2 linked regions of the Arabidopsis thaliana genome follow. The protein of the gene in region 2 interacts with the protein of the main gene of each other region in a pairwise test. Each region holds a gene or a part of one and is shown on either strand. Other genes may lie near its edges.

What was found.
Region 1: the proteins of AT5G09460 (region 2) and CPUORF7 interact in binary tests that used the Arabidopsis thaliana proteins (3 or more experiments, as listed by UniProt).

Annotation. Positions count from the first base shown.
Region 1 is NC_003071.7:13,337,473-13,341,227, forward strand, and holds the start of CPUORF7 (transcription factor bHLH155-like protein), read left to right. Parts: upstream 1-1,614; 5' UTR 1,615-1,957; coding exon of another isoform or gene 1,958-2,054; 5' UTR 2,055-2,205; coding exon 2,206-2,303; intron 2,304-2,600; coding exon 2,601-2,720; intron 2,721-2,912; coding exon 2,913-2,994; intron 2,995-3,068; coding exon 3,069-3,110; intron 3,111-3,233; coding exon 3,234-3,293; intron 3,294-3,423; coding exon 3,424-3,543; intron 3,544-3,703; coding exon 3,704-3,755. UniProt on the Arabidopsis thaliana protein: Transcription factor that may regulate root development.
Region 2 is NC_003076.8:2,944,965-2,948,719, forward strand, and holds the start of AT5G09460 (transcription factor bHLH143), read right to left. Parts: upstream 1,876-3,755; 5' UTR 1,724-1,875; intron 1,386-1,723; 5' UTR 891-1,385; intron 789-890; 5' UTR 613-788; intron 497-612; 5' UTR 454-496; coding exon 1-453.

The DNA.
Region 1 (3,755 bases), on a different chromosome or scaffold from region 2:
ATAAATTTTCAATATAATATGTATGAAATTGAATATGAATATTTCAAATTTATGTCCCCTTACTCAGTAGAAAGTTTTCTTAAATCTATTTTTCACCCGTTATAATATTATTTCATGTATTGAACAGTTTATATTTGTTTTTAAAAATTCAAATTATGGCATATGCGAAAAAACTCTAATTATTTTTTTATAATGATGATATTATTTTTCCGTATAAATAGAATCATATAAAGATGAGAAGTGAACTATAATAATTAATAAAAAATTAATATGATAATTTAGATACCAAATATAGTTTGTTGATTTTAATTGGTTACTTTTTTAGAAATTAATAATCTATTTCGTTTTTCTAATTAAATTAAATTAATTAAATTTAGATATCAAATCTTATATGTTGATTTTGATTGGCTATTATTTTTGGAAATTAATATTGTATTTCGTTTTTTAATTAATTTAATTAATTAAATTAGTATTTGACTTTTTAATCCTTAAAGAGATAAATTAATTTACTTTTTAAAATTTTATTTCTAATGGCATACCTATGTAATTACTTACAAAAATTAAGGTTATATTTAAAATGTACTTCCCAAATAATATAGTAGGATTGTCACTACGACTACGAGGGACACTTGCTAAATTTTCGGAATATTTTATCTTATGAATTAGAAGGAAAATTATTATGGAAGTTGTAATAAAACATGTACAACATTTTAAATATCATAGGTTTTTTATTACAAAAGTATTATATTTTAATAGTATATGGGAAAAACAATTGTCTCTTCAAAATTTATTCAAAATAAAAAAAAAATTAAACTATAGACGAATGAGCCTCGAAAACGCAATTCCTCAAACATTTTTTTTTACAATCTTATCCACCAACGTATGAGTCAAATCAAACAAATAGACACCTTAAAGTAAAGTATATACATAGTTCACTAATATTTTTGCTAGACGGTTAACCTCTTTATACATATACGAGATTCGAATTATCTACTCTGTAGATAAAATATATGATACAAACTTATCAAGAAAGACAATTGGGTTCGACTCACAAACTCTTGCCTTTAAGAATCCTACCACTAATTCCGCAGCTCTAGCCTCATCACTCTCTTCTCCCATGGGATATACAATTCATAGTAGACTTCCTACAACTTCGGTAAACGAGCCGAGTATACAATGTTTAGCGCACAATTTCCGCGGGAAATACAAAAAAGATTGTGATGTTAATGTGATGAATTTGTAATTAAACACACGATAAATTAGTGCAATGTGTAAAATATTTTATAAATTTGTGAGTAATGGGTAAAAAAAAAAGTAAAGAAGGAAGCAAAGTTCAGTTGGTGAATCATTTTGCTGGCCATTACTCTATAAGAGAGAGAGATCCTATCTCCATAAAATCCCATACCCTCAAACACACACACACTCACCATCCCACTAACTCGAATAGTTAACATGCGCACACCGATCCTTGGCCTTTCGTTGCTAAAATGAGCATGGTGCGTGATTCACCCGCTTACTTGCTCGATTTCTCCTTCACCCTTTTAAAAAGGAACGTCTTTTAGCTTACCTCTGCCTCCTTTACCCTCTCTCTCTCTCTATCTCTATCTCTGTTCTTTCCTTTTTCCGGCGAATTTCTGGGCTGAGATTGTTAGTGTCTCTGAGTGATGCAGAGATCAACTGTTGTAGTTAATCAATATCTTCTGACATAAGCTAAACTCGATTCTTTCTTACAATCTCTCTGTCTCTCTCTGCTTCCTTTTCTACTGTCTTCTTTCTTCTTCTCTAGCTTTTGAATTTTCAATATTGATTTCTCCCATGGCGAGTAGCAGTTGCAGCAGATCTATCTCTGTTTCAAATTCTGATTCTCTCGGTGTTTTTTGTTTGAGCTAGGGCTAAATTAGTTTCCTTCTTGGGTTTTTATTCGTAATCCGATTCAAAGTTTGTATCTTTGGGAGGGATGGGTAAGAGGCAAATATCACAAGATGAAGTAGGTCCGCCCATAAAACCAAGAGCTGGTTTACGAAGGGAACAAGCTGGAAGAGGTTCTTACAGAGGTAGTTAGTTACTTTGTATCTCATCGAAAACGAATCAAAAGAAGCTTCTTTTTTTTTTTATTAGAGGTTGGGGAGGAGATAGTATAAAACAACTGTTTAGAGTTCTGATTTGTGGTTTTTGAGTCCGGGGTTTTGAGGTTTACCCTTTAGAATGGGTTCTACTTCTCAAGAGATACTGAAGAGCTTTTGCTTTAACACGGACTGGGACTATGCTGTGTTCTGGCAACTTAATCATCGAGGATCTCGAATGTGAGTCATCTAAACAATTCTCTTTACTGTCTTTGCGTGGTGGATCATTATAATTGTCTACGAGTTAGAACTGTGGTAATTGATTTAGGTGTATTGACTTCAACTTGCTAGAGTGGAAATATGGAACCTTATATCGAAATGCAGCAGCTTTAAGTTAACAATTGTAGTTTAAGTGTCTGAAGATTGTTTCTGTACTTTTAAGTTTTGTGTGCAGTTCAGGATTCTATTTCTTTATATGTTTTAGTGTTTTAGTTGACCAGATAGTTTCTCAATTTTTTGAATAATGAACACCTGTAGGGTACTTACCTTGGAGGATGCTTACTATGACCATCATGGGACGAATATGCATGGAGCACATGACCCCCTTGGGTTAGCTGTGGCAAAGATGTCTTATCATGTCTATTCTCTAGGGGAAGGGTAAGAATATATTGCTCTGATTCACTCTTATCATGCCTATAGTTTGATGTGCCCTTTTTCCTTCTTTTTTTATTTGACAGTAGCCACATAATGCAAAGCTTTTGTTGTGTCCTTGAGCTTGATGTTAGCTTTTACAATAGTTAACAATCTTGGGTCTATTGTTGAATTATGTTATCATATCTATATAAACAGGATTGTAGGACAAGTTGCAGTTTCTGGAGAACACCAATGGGTATTTCCCGAAAATTATAACAACTGTAACTCAGCATTTGAGGTTAGGGACTTTCTATCTGAAATTAAATTTGTTTTCTTCGTGTTTTTAAACCAAATGTCTTTTTTTAATTACAGTTTCATAACGTTTGGGAAAGTCAAATTTCTGCTGGAATTAAGGTATTTGGATTTTTCTTTAGTGCTCTTTCTGTCTGCTTTATTATACATACTTGTCAAGAACATCCTCAAAGTTTGCCACTGGAGACTTTCCTTTTTAAAATATCTATTCTTCCTTCTCCGCAGACCATTCTTGTAGTAGCTGTTGGTCCATGTGGAGTTGTTCAGCTAGGCTCTTTGTGTAAAGTAAGTAAGATCTTAAAATTGGATGCGGTGTTCGCAGTTACAAAATAATAGCCAGGAAGAACACCTGCACACTTATAATAGATGGCACATATATACATATCTGGTCTTATTTTGTATTTGTTTGGAGCAGGTTAATGAAGATGTGAATTTTGTGAATCATATCCGACATTTATTTCTGGCACTTAGGGATCCATTGGCAGACCATGCAGCAAATTTAAGGCAATGTAATATGAACAATTCGTTATGTCTGGTAAAGATCTTCTTCATTCAAATATGGATTCATGTTTTTTCTAGATTTCTTGTTATTTGCAAAATGGGGAGAGTAAAGTGCTTAGGGTTCTTCTAACAGTTACTCAAACCTCCACTGACTTCCTGAGTAGACCATGATGTGTTGTATAATTTTGTTGCAGCCAAAAATGCCTTCTGAAGGTTTACATGCTGAGGCTTTCCCTGATTGCTCTG
Region 2 (3,755 bases):
TTCATGTTGCAATATCTTTTCTTGAATGGCATGATCTTTACTAAACCCTTTCTCTGGGTGTAGGGCACCGAGAATGTTCCCTCGCTCTGCATCCATAGAAGAAGGAAACCGCAGAGGAAATCCACATTGTAACAAACGAGTCTGCTCTCCCGACTGATCGAATACTATAAATCTTTTCCGAGAAGACTTGAGTGCCCCCTCTGGAGCAGCACCGTTGCTAGATCGCCCATTCAAACATGAAACTTGTTTTCCACAAGACTGCTGATCATATCTAGACAATAAGGCTTGGAACGGTGGCTGCAAATAGCGAAACTGATGCTCAGCTGCATAAACTTTACCGAGTTCCGGAAAAGGAATTCCAGGACGGAAATACTCAGTCGCCTTGTCCTGGACACAAGCTTGAGGATTTAAGCCTAATGGCAACCATTTCTGCTGTTTGGTATCAAGAGGCATGCTCTTGCAGTTTAAGCCAAGGGAACTTTACAGGAATACAATACTGCACGAAAAAGGAAAGGGACTAATCATTGGACATGGCTATGAATGAGACAACTACTAGTAGCCCAACTCAAGAAAGCAATAATCCATAAAGAGTCAAAGATTCAGTTAGCATACCGATTGTGGAAGCTGTTGCTCAAATGTGTGGAACGCAACACTTGTTGATTCTTTCTTGAAACAATCGTATAAGAAAGTAGAGACAAAAAGAAAAAAGGTGCCAGCTCCAAAAATACAAACACAAGCTCACAAACCAACTACGTCACTGGTTTGAGTATATGTCTAAAGTATTCAGCCTGCAAGTGGAACAGAGACAAAAGTGTTAGATAAGAAACACAGGACTATGAGATGAAATGTGACAAAAAAAAGAGTATAATATCATTTTTGCTGCAACAAACCTGACAATTATCCATCGGTTGGAAGCAAGCAATAACTCTCACTACAATTGTTGGTCTGCTAGAGTCTCCGTTGTTCTCGTACTTGAATGTTCGAAATCTTGTTTGACCAGCTGATTGACTTACCATAATAATAACTTTTCCAAACTCTCGAATGTAAAACTAGTGTTTCTCCACAGAACAGAGTAAGTCACCAAAAGACAGATGACTTGAAGAAGAAAAAGAGAAGCTTTAAGGGTTTAGATGATCCTATACTGGTCACAGTGGAAAACGTAGAAACGTTGGGATCCCATTATTAAAGAGTTTAGAAAAGGCTGAGGATTTAGAAGAAGATTGAAGATGGGGTTTTTCAAGGCAGAGAAAAAGTTTACAGAATAACTCGGCAATACAGATTCAAGCTCACAACTTTACGGTACACATCAACAGACCTTGTGAACCAACTCATGCTGTTTTTCTCATTCACTGCTTTGTTGTGATCCAGAGAAAGAGAGAAGAATTCTGTTACAAAACAGAGAATCATCTCATCAAATTCCAGTAATAACAAACCAAAGAAACCAAACATTCACAACAATTGAAAGGATAGAGAAACCATAAACAGCAGAAGAAGATAAGTACATGTTCTGCAGCATTGAACAAGTATAATTTATTTTAGCAAAATCAAGAACTAAAAGCTTGGATTTTGCAAGCCAAGCTACGAAAATAGAAGAATTTATCCGTTTTGGTAACGATTTAAACACATTTGCATCAAATTCGCTGATAATTCAACTTTTTCGAGGAATAAAAAAACAGAGAGAGCACAGCGACAAACAATGGTTAAGTGAATCCAAGAAGCGTACATGGAGGAAAACAGAGGAAGATCTATGCGTGGAGATCCAGAGAGAGTGGAGAGGTTTATGAGACGAATTCACGAAAGCTTGAACGGATAAGAAACGAGAAAGCGGAATATTATTTCGAAAATATATTTTTAGCAAATTCACTAAAAGTGGGCGTGAAGACTGAAGTGTGTGACATTGCTTTATACATCTTCTTATTTCTTGTGACGATTTTACCCTTTTCCACCACTTTATTTACCGTCAATAATGGAGACCAGGAAAAGAAAAAGAAAAAGAAAAAAACAGTTCACATCAACCAAGTTTATTTCAGATTTTTTTTTTTTTTTTTTCATTTTTCTTTCTCTTCCAAAATTTAGATAACCAAGCTGGAACATCAACTCTAAAAACTCATTTGAGCAAAACATAACACCATCTCCATTGCCCAACTTTATTTTCTTCTATTTTAATATTAACTCAATTTAAGAAGAAATATAATTAATTTTACTCTATTATATATTTTAGAATAGAGTTACTACTAAAATAGAAGAAAAATGTAGAGATTACTCTATAAATAGAACAAAAGACAACTTACTCTATATTTGTTTTCTATTTTAGAGAAAACTTTATTTTAGAGTCATACAATGAAATAAAATACCTTTAAAATAGAGTCAATTTTAAAATAGAAGAAAAAATAGAATTGAACATTGGATATAGTCTTATTATTTTGATTTTTTACTATTCTTTTTAGTAGAAATTAAAACTAAAATACACTTTAGTATGAGTTTCAATTCATATTTCTAACACATATTTTTTATAAAGAAAAATTAAATTTATTTAATTCAGTTCAATTTAAATTTATTTTAGAAAATACATATAGTATAATTTAAAATGCATATAATTTTGAATTGAATGGTAGAAATAATCTAAATATTTTTATTAGTTTGGATGGTTGCAATGGGACGAGGAGTAGAGGAGGTGGAACGTAGAATATATGTAATTATGATGTATAATGGCAAACCCTCGCGATCCATAATTTCAAGCCATAAATTAATAATTATGTAATATCATAAACGTGAGAATTTCTTAGTAGTTCGTTAAAGTAAAGCCATTATATGTTCGTCTTCTTTTTAACTTTTTTTTTTTTTTTGGGGGGGGGGGCAACGTTTTTTCTTTATAATTATGAGCCAAATAGTGGAAGTGAGTTTTTAACCATTTTGGTGGTTTCTATAATCATTATTTTTAAAGTATTAACCTTTCTTTTTAGGTGTGTGGGTGGGATGATTTGGAACATTTATGTCTTTACGATGACGCGATACAAATTGAACTATATACATTGTAACATATTTGACTAGTTTAGTAGCTAGCTAAATAATACAATATTTTTGACGTGGCTTATAAAACACCAATTTAGCCCACTCGTTTTTTCATATATAATTACGAACTATTGTACATGATATTTTAATAAGTGATTGAGGTGAAAAACGTTGGAGCATCCACCAAATTCCATGATCATAGGAGAAAGAAAAGAAAACGAATAAAGAGGTAAGCAAGTTTGGTGAAAGAAGAAAAAAAAAGAAAAAGAGAAAGAGACGCAAGTGAATGATTAAAAAAATGCACAGGGAATTAAGTGCTTAATTGCCTTGATGACTTCTTTTTCTTTTTGGAACATTTTTTCTAAAGATTTTAATTTCTCGTTGAATCTTTTTTCTTTATTTTGATGTGATATGAGATTTGAGAATAGTCGTTGCCGTGTGAGATCAGTGGACCCAAATGCCTACTATGTACTTCAAAATTCTTAAAATTTTAGGAAACAATTATTATGTGTTCTATTCGGAAGCAAATCATTGAAACATGTTAAAAGAAAGACAGTTAGATAGAAATTTCAGTGTGAAAAAACAAAACATAGAAATTTCAGTTCACATAATTGAGACTGGGCTTTGGTTAGATGAGTGGAGTGGCCATGCAAAATGGAGCCTAAACATGGCCTTGGACTTATTTTGGGCCATGTCTCAGCTTTGGATAACTCTTATACAATCTCATAAAACAAACACCAAAT